Saccharomyces cerevisiae S288C: one gene and its partner. Changing the gene in region 1 together with any one later gene gives a genetic interaction. Each region holds a gene or a part of one and is shown in the gene's direction. Other genes may lie near its edges.

Region 1 (5,565 bases):
GTGCGACTGGCCATTGTTGCTGTATTTAATAATGTCGTATAACACTCTAAGATTCCGTAATGATTCAAAAGCAGAAATTCGTTGGCTCTAGAGTCTTAAACAACTTACGCAACTACATATATTCATGATTCAAACAGAATGTACCTTTAAAGGTTAGAAATACGACCTCTAATCTGCTTTAAGCAGATGATGCAAGTGCCTTCATGTGGTTAATATATGTGCTATCGTATTAAAAAAAGTTTCCCTTCTCACGTGTCAATAAAGCATCACGAAAACATTCAATACTAGTGTTTTTCGCACAGAAACTTGCCAAATAGGCACCTTTATGCAGCACAATAATTAAAAATGCCCAACGTGACACATTCCAAGGTAATTTTGAAAAATCGTAAGCGCCATTCGTGAAACAGAATAGTGTTACACCCGTGAGAGTAATAGCGAAGTCAACTTAAGCAGATATTGCTACTTTAATCCGCTTATGCTGAATCCATATTCATCTTTTATCAGCTTTGGACGAGAAATTAGTTGTCTTTTAGGCAATGTTCGTGAGTAAGTTGGAGAAAAGATCTGTTTCAAAAGAGTCAACTTGAAGTAATGTCTCAAAAAAAAAAATGATAGTATTGCTTGCTCAAGTGCTAATTATATCTTTTCCTTGACAAAAGTACAAGTTATGCGTCTCCATCGGAAGTATTTTAAGTAGAAATATTAGGTACCAAAAGAAGTAAAAAATTAAAGCTATTCTTATTGGGTCACACTGACTTAAAAATTAAAGGAAAATATTTAATTGCATGTTATTTTGTTTAACTACTATCTTACTTCCACTGGTCCACCGGACCCTCAGGCTTCCTTGCCTTGTGGAACCAGTTTTTTTCTATCGAGAGGAAATTCTCCAGTCTAGTGATATTCCATATGAGAATGGAACACAGGTAAGCAAGGCAGTGGTGCTGATTAATGCGTTGAGAGTGCCAACAGAAAGAACAGAAGCTTGTTTGGGCAGGATATGTACAAGAATGAGGAATTTTTCTTTAACAGGGCTAATTTTGTAGTTTTCTTTTGAGCGATACTTAAATAGCATTTTAGATTCAGAAAAAATGCGTTGCCTAGTTATTGAGCATTAAACTGCGCCCATAAATTCAGGAGGCACTACCAACCCCTGCCACAGAATATTTACTAGGTATAAGTGTTTAACAGTTGCAAGAACCAAGCACATAGATGAAATTATTCAACAGAAGATTCAAAACGTAAAATAAAAAATATTAGCGCCATCCACTGGCCTCTGTACTCTTTTCTTTTCTTTCTTTTTTTTTTTTAACAAGAAAAATGGTACCCGGGTATCGAAGATGTTTCATTACACAAAACCTTGGCACATGATTCAATTCACCCTAACATCAATTAACTCTATTCGAGAAACATGTGCAGCTAACTGTAGCTACCTCGTTTATATATCGCATTCATTCTTGATTGTGGTATCTAATTTCGAATGCCTTAGTGATAGTGAACGGCATCGTAAGCTTCCACGGGTAGGTACGACTCTCAGTACATCATTGCTATTTCACTTCAGCTTGGGAAAAGAAACTGTAACATTATCCCGCGGCAATCGTTTAGAGCATACTAATATAGGCTAAGACAATAGCTTCCGAACGAGGGTCCTTGAAAAAGAAATATGACAGGCACGTAAAAGGGTTCTTCGAAGGCACATGGCGCCCCTATAACGTCGATCTTACATTGCACGCATACGAATACACATTGGCGCCGCAAAACATATCTTCATATACGAAGTTTGTGACGAATTCACGAATCGTTCAAGGACAGGTGCATTTCTATAGTTACGGTGGATAAGGTGTGTTAGATGAAATATGTAGGATCTTGAGGTGAGAAAAGAGTGTCAGTCAGTGGCTCGTTTGGGCAGCACCAGCTGGTGAAGGAATTTGTATAAATAGAGCAGACTTGACCGCCTGTCTTTGTGAATATGCAGTCATTTTTTTCTTCCTAGTAGGGCTTATATCAGCACTAAAAAACAAAACAAATACAATGGTCAAATTAACTTCAATCGCCGCTGGTGTCGCTGCCATCGCTGCTACTGCTTCCGCAACCACCACTCTAGCTCAATCTGACGAAAGAGTCAACTTGGTTGAATTGGGTGTCTACGTCTCTGATATCAGAGCTCACTTGGCCCAATACTACATGTTCCAAGCCGCCCACCCAACGGAAACCTACCCAGTTGAAGTTGCTGAAGCCGTTTTCAACTACGGTGACTTCACCACCATGTTGACTGGTATTGCCCCAGACCAAGTGACCAGAATGATCACCGGTGTTCCATGGTACTCCAGCAGATTAAAGCCAGCCATCTCCAGTGCTCTATCCAAGGTCGGTATCTACACTATCGCAAACTAGAGACAAACGCCAATTTTACGAACGGGTTTCCATAGACATTGAAAATGAACGAACAAAATAAAATAAATAAAAAACTACTTTTTTTTGATGATATAAATACCGTAGATTATATAAATGTATATTAATATTATAAACCTATTTGATCAATGACAGTGTTCGTGAAGCATTTTATGAATACGATGAACATAAGAAAGAAACTTTTACACTATTGTAGAAAAAGCGTGGACGGTAATAAAGCTAACAGAGTATTTCCAATAAACAATAATGAAATTGGAAACGTATGACTTCGCAGCACTTTGTCTTTCCATAAAAATGTGTCGCTGCTTCTTTTTTCATTTTTTGGCGCGTCGCGTCGGGCCGTATAGAATATGCGTCACTTCTAAGAACAAGACTGCAGATCAGGGCAGTGCGAGTTACAAGTCATGGTACCAAACTCTCATTTGGAGATCCTCATTTTTTGACACCTAAAATATTAAGATTTATGGTTTGGGATAGTTTTTTGTAACTGTAACTAGAAATAAAGCTGAGGGGTTAGTGTTCTACCAAAACTAAGATAGAGGGTGGTAAGATGAAGTGAGATGAGACAATATCGTAATATCCGTTTAAGTATACGCCGCTGATAAGTTATAATATAGTAGGGTTATTTGAAGTTTCGTTATAACTCTACAAAAACAACGTACCTATCACCGTATCGTCTTGTTCAGATATAGTCTCTTCGTATGAGTAGTGTCACATACAAGATTAAAGATGCATCAGTTATCCTTTTAGGATATTGCGGTTAGCATATGGGAATGGAAATAGGATGCCATTGTATCATAGCACCCGCATGAGTGTGAACACACTACCGTATTATAGCTCAGTGAATAGAGAGTGTTACGACAGTGAGGTGGCATAGTATTCTAATGTAAGGTCTGTGTAAGTAAGAAATATCCTGAAATGGCATCCGTTCAAGCAAATTGCAATATTAAGGAACTTTTACGTTAGTGATACCATGATAGTGTTGCTACCACAAGTCAATATGTTTATGTATTATTGTTGAAGGATAGAATATTTTTATGTTTAGGTGATTTTGGTGGTGATTTTTCTGTAATATTGGCATAAGTGTATATAAATTGAGTGGTTAGTATACGGTGTAAAAGCGGTATAACGTATGTATTAAGAGCAGTTTTACAATATTTGGGGCCGCCGAATGAGATATAGATATTAAAATGTGGATAATCATGGGCGTTATGGGTAAATGGCACAGGGTATAGACCGCTGAGGCAAGTGCCGTGTATAATGATGTGAGTGCATTTGTACTGATTTAGTGAGAGATGGGCCATGGAGTGGAGTGGAATGTGAGAGTAGGGTAAGTTTGAGATGATATATACTGTAGCATCCGTGTGCGTATGGCATATCAGTATACAAGTGAAGGTGAGTATGGCATGTGGTGGTGGGATTAGAGTGGTAGAGTAAGTATGTGTGTATTATTTACGATCATTTGTTAGCGTTTCAATAGTGGTGGGTAGAACAATAGTATGGTGAGTAGTAGATGGGAGATGGTAGGGTAAGTGGTAGTGGAGTTGGATATGGGTAATTGGAGGGTAACGGTTATGGTGGACGGTCGGTTGGTGGTAGTACACAGGGAGATGGATGGTGGTTGGGGTGGTATAGTTGAATGAGTCAGGGTAACGAGTGGGGAGGTAGGGTAATGGAGGGTAATTTGAGAGACAGGTTGGTCAGGCTTGGCTTGTCTTAGTCTTAGGCTTAGGCTTCTCTCTGGTGTGGGTGTGTGGGTGTGTGGGTGTGGTGTGGGTGTGGGTGTGGTGTGGGTGTGGTGGGTGTGGTGTGGTGTGTGTGGGTGTGGTGTGGTGTGTATATATATGTCACTGTATTGCATGCTGGATGGTGTTAGACAAGGCCGTAGGGACATATAGCATCTAGGAAGTAACCTTGTACGAAAATAGGCAATATTTCCTGTTTAGGCGATTGTGACGCAGATTTTAGTCCAACGATCTAGCGTCAAGGAATTTTTTTATAGTGGGACATTGCACCAAGGAAGTAACTTGATACGTCGTGGGTGAATGGGTCTGTTTTCTTATTCGGCGGGGTAATACATTTTTGGGGGAAGTTTGTCTGTCTGACGCGCCATATGTAGGTACGCCAAAAAGGGCTCCTCTACTTCGAAGCGCGAGGTCGTATACCTAATAAGGAAATGTAATTTATAACTTTCTATTATATTGGTCTTTTCGAGAGCGGAAGAAGTTGTAGGCTAAGCGCAGGCTAAGCGTAGGTCCATATTTAAAGTATCCAAGAGAATATCCACGAAGCGGCTGAGCAACGAACAGAATCCTGGTTCTCCTCGACTAAGCAGATAGTTAAGATACTGTGCACCATGGAAATTGAAAACGAAAGTACGTACCGACTACTTTATTTTTGCAGGCCGGAAATCAAGCGATGAATGAGACATCCTTCTGTTTTCTATGTTGGGACAGACAGTCGCTTATCTTAGTGAGATTTCTTATTAACTGAATTTTCTTTGCTGCTGCTGGAGATTTGCACCTGCATAGCGCAGATTCTGCTTCTTCTCAATAGAGTAGCTTAATTATTACATTCTTAGATGATGATAAGACGGAAACTGGACAATCTTTTGTTTATATTGATGGATTTCTTGTCAAAAAGCATAACAATCAACATACTATTGTTAATTTCGAAACTTACAAAAATAAAATGAAAGTTTCCGATAGGCGTAAGTTTGAAAAAGCAAACTTTGACGAGTTTGAGTCGGCTCTAAATAACAAAAACGACTTGGTACATTGTCCCTCAATAACTTTATTTGAATCGATCCCCACGGAAGTGCGGTCATTCTACGAAGACGAAAAGTCTGGCCTAATCAAAGTGGTAAAATTCAGAACTGGTGCAATGGATAGGAAAAGGTCTTTTGAAAAAATTGTCATTTCCGTCATGGTCGGGAAAAATGTACAAAAGTTCCTGACATTTGTTGAAGACGAACCAGATTTCCAGGGCGGACCAATCCCTTCAAAGTATCTTATTCCCAAGAAAATCAACTTGATGGTCTACACGTTGTTTCAAGTGCATACTTTGAAATTCAATAGAAAGGATTACGATACCCTTTCTCTTTTTTACCTCAACAGAGGATACTATAATGAGTTGAGTTTCCGTGTCCTGGAACGT
Region 2 (3,945 bases), on another chromosome or scaffold:
AAGGGAGCAACATCACGAAGACAGTGAGGAAGAAGATTCGTGGTCGCAATTTGTAGAAAAGGACCTGCCAGAGCTTACGGACAGAGCCGGTCGGTCATTACAGGACACAGCAAACAAAGTTAGTAACTGGATAAGTGATGCTTACCGGAGAAACTTTGCGTCAGGTAATGAGCAAAACGACAACCAACATGGTCACCAAGATCAGCAAGAATGGGAGCCAGAGATTGTGGATTTGTCACAAGGCGGGAAAAATTCAAGACCCCAGCAACCTGAGAGAAGAAGATTCAATTCGTTTGGCGTTCAAGTCGGTGATGACTCTTTAGAAAGCCACGGAATCACACTACACAACGAAGATGGATTTGAAGATGATGAAGATGTGCCACCTCAGTTACCAACGAGAACAAAATCTGGTGAGTCGACTGGAAAAGTAGTGGCAGAGACAACCTACATTGATACTCCAGATACAGAAACGAAGAAGAAATGGCAGCCGCTACCACCGGAACCCCTGGATACTACACCAACTAAAGTAAACGCTGTTTCTAGAAATAAGAAAAATCCGGATGAGGATGAATTCTTAATCAATAGTGACGACGAGATGTAAAGCTGATATCTACGTACATGTGTATACGTGCCAATATTTGGACGCATCTTATTTTACGCGCTTGTGAAGAACTCACTACCTTCTTGAAGGAAGTAAGAAAAAATTTTCAGAATTGTTGATAGTCGTATATCTTCCATTATAACTATTGTTAGCTATTAATTCAGATAATGTAGATAAGATTGAAAACATAAATTCATCATAAAAAAGAATAGGTCTTTTACGGCACCCGTTCAGACACTTTGACACTTCAAAGTATATGCATCAGCACACTTCTGACCATTCTACGTATTGTAACAGCAACATGAGTTCTTTAAAACTCCAATTGACATTTTCGTAATGTGTTTTGCATATCATCTAAATTTCAATGACAGATTTAAAAAGTCAAGTAATTAAAAATTTTCATAAGCGTGCTTTTTTATAGTGCGAAGAACGGCAAAGGCAACCTTAAGAAAAAAAAATGATAGGTTACGTGCTATATCCGGAAAATAAAGAAAGATGAGTAAGAGTTAAAGAAAGAATTCAACCAACCTGATGGGTGTATGAAAATCCCGATTTTATATCGACAGCGCTAGCATGCATGAACAGTGTTTTGACGGTCAAGAAAAAACATAACCTCTGCATAATGTACTTACTTATCAAAACGTTGCAAATCTTGTATGTAAGAGGTGTTTGGGTGTTTTTTCCAAACGACCCGAAGGAGGGCAATTCAAAATAAAAAAAGCAAATTTTATCAGGAAGAGAAGATTTTAGTCAGAACGGGCCATGTTCAATGGCCAATTTCTTATGCTCTAGAGTAATAATTACTAAGGAGGAAAGTAAGACAAAAAACGGTCTATCGTTGTTTTAAGTTTACAGCATAGGCATAGTGATAGAGTGTGAGAGAGTCTCTAACTCGGCGTCAGTTTAGAGTCATTTTTTTCTTTTCTCCCCCCAAAGGTCATAAGAAGATAAGGATCCAAATTTAGAAGACAAAAAAAGTTTTGTTAGAACGTTTATCCCATTAAAAATAAGGGAAAAGAGAAACAACGTTATTTAGTGATTTTTTTAATTGAGAAGCATTTTCTCCAGTGATAATTTAATTGTTTTTTTATTCGGAAAAGAACAGAAAGCGCAAGAAGACAACTCCTTCACACTTAGGCTATTAATTTTCCCGCCTCCCCATTAATTGATAAAGATAAAGGTTGTCTGAGCTTACACTTATTATAAACAATGGACGATATAATCACGCAAGTTTCTCCAGATAATGCAGAGTCCGCTCCGATTCTACAAGAACAGCAACAGCAACAGAACTCACAGTACGAAGGTAACGAGGAGGATTATGGTGATTCATTGATTCATTTGAATATTCAAGAAAACCATTATTTCATTACGAGGGACCAGTTGATGTCTCTACCTGAATCCCTATTACTGTGTTTATTTCCCTCAGGTGTTTTTTTGGACCGTTGTGGTCAGGTCATTACTAATTTGACCAGAGACGATGAGGTCTACATTGTTAATTTCCCTCCTGATTGTTTTGAGTACATCATGGAGATATATACAAAAGCGCATGATGATTTGTATAATCATCCTGTGGAGAAATTTTTTGACAGACCATCAAGTAGCTTTGTTTCGAATGCAAAGGGATTTTTTGGACTGAGTAGCAATAATTCAATTTCGAGCAACAATGAGCAGGATATTTTACATCAAAAGCCCGCTATTATTGTTTTGAGAGAAGACTTGGATTATTATTGTGTACCTCAGGAGGAATTTCAGTTTGATTCCACTAATGAAGAAAATAATGAGGATTTATTGCGACATTTTATGGCTCAAGTGAAAATGGCTGCTGGCAGTTATTTAACTTCAAAAACATCGATTTTCCAAGGTTTGTATTCTTCGAATAGACTAAAGCAACAACAGCAACAACAGAAAATTGAAAAGGGGTCCAATTCTTCTTCAAATACTAAATCTACTTCGAAAAAATTGGGACCTGCTGAACAACATTTAATGGATATGTTGTGCTCCTCCGGATTCACCAAGGAAACTTGTTGGGGTAACAGAACTCAAGAAACTGGCAAAACGGTTATAAGTTCACTGTCTCTTTGCCGATTGGCTAACGAGACAACTGAAGGATTTAGGCAAAAATTTAACGAGGCTAAGGCTAAGTGGGAGGCAGAGCACAAACCTTCTCAAGACAACTTCATCACCCCAATGCAATCTAACATATCGATTAACTCTTTATCTGCAAGTAAATCTAACAGTACCATTTCTACAGCAAGGAATTTAACAAGCGGAAGTACAGCACCTGCTACAGCACGTGATAAGAGAAAATCAAGGCTGTCGAAACTAGCAGATAACGTTCGTTCGCACTCTTCCTCGAGACATAGTTCGCAGACCAGAAGTAAACCTCCGGAGTTGCCCAAATTGTATGATCTAGTGCCAAAACCTAATATCAACGCTAAGCTACTATTATTTTGGAGAAAACCTGCTCGTAAATGTTGGTGGGGTGAAGAAGACATAGAGCTAGAAGTGGAAGTCTTCGGCTCTTGGAAAGATGAATCAAAGAAAATCATTGAATTGATCTTGCCAACAAACGTTGATCCTGAAGCAGAACTACATAAAATCATTGTACCCGTCCGATTACATATTCGTAGAGTTTGGACTTTAGAGTTGAGCGTTATTGGGGTGCAGTGAGTGTATATAATATATTAGAGAAAGAAATGGAAAGAGATCGGGCCAAAGACACAATATGTAACAGTATGGTTTCTTGGTATCCCCTCTTTCTATTCCTCCCTTGTTACGAAATGATGTATATTTGTATCTCTATAACAAAATTATATGAACTGTCTCAAAGCACATGAAGAAGGAAAAAAGGTGGCGTCGAAGACTGCTAGATATTTCTCTTCGTATCTTCCCATCCCCTTCTGCAAATAACGGTTTTTCCATTGTCTATTTCAAAGTTACCCGCATAATAAAGTCGTACATTGTTCGAAAAATATCACTCAAAAGCAGCATTGATCCGGTATAAAACAATAGAAATTTTTTTTTTTTTTTATTGTTATAATTATTCTGACTCACGTCTGGATTTCGTTAGTTCGTCATTTTTTCTTAATTTCAGTAAACTGTGATCACGAGTCTGCAACATCATTATACACCGTATATCTGTATTATTAAGAATCAGGGTCTCCTTTTAATTTGCTGTTGAAAAACATCTTAAGGGAGTGTGATTGTCTGTTGATGTATACTAGTCTGGTAAAGCTAAATATTCTTATAAAAAACTTTTGGTAACCCATTATTACAGGAAACAAGATCCATTTATCAGATAAAAATTATAAAACATTAAGGAATCAGGACCTTTTTTTCGACAA

Evidence for each region. A genetic interaction does not mean that the proteins touch.
Region 2: mutations in PAU10 (region 1) and WHI2 together harm fitness more than expected from each alone (negative genetic interaction), as found in Saccharomyces cerevisiae (2 studies listed by BioGRID).

What each region holds. Positions count from the first base shown.
Region 1 is NC_001136.10:1,521,221-1,526,785, forward strand, and holds PAU10 (seripauperin PAU10), read left to right. Parts: upstream 1-2,028; coding exon 2,029-2,391; downstream 2,392-5,565. Other genes in the region: YRF1-1 (Y' element ATP-dependent helicase protein 1 copy 1), read left to right, coding at 5,101-5,565.
Region 2 is NC_001147.6:409,060-413,004, forward strand, and holds WHI2 (Whi2p), read left to right. Parts: upstream 1-1,810; coding exon 1,811-3,271; downstream 3,272-3,945. Other genes in the region: ubiquitin-binding protein CUE5, read left to right, coding at 1-601. UniProt on the Saccharomyces cerevisiae protein: Plays a role in the coordination of growth and proliferation. Required for entry into G0 phase under conditions of carbon limitation.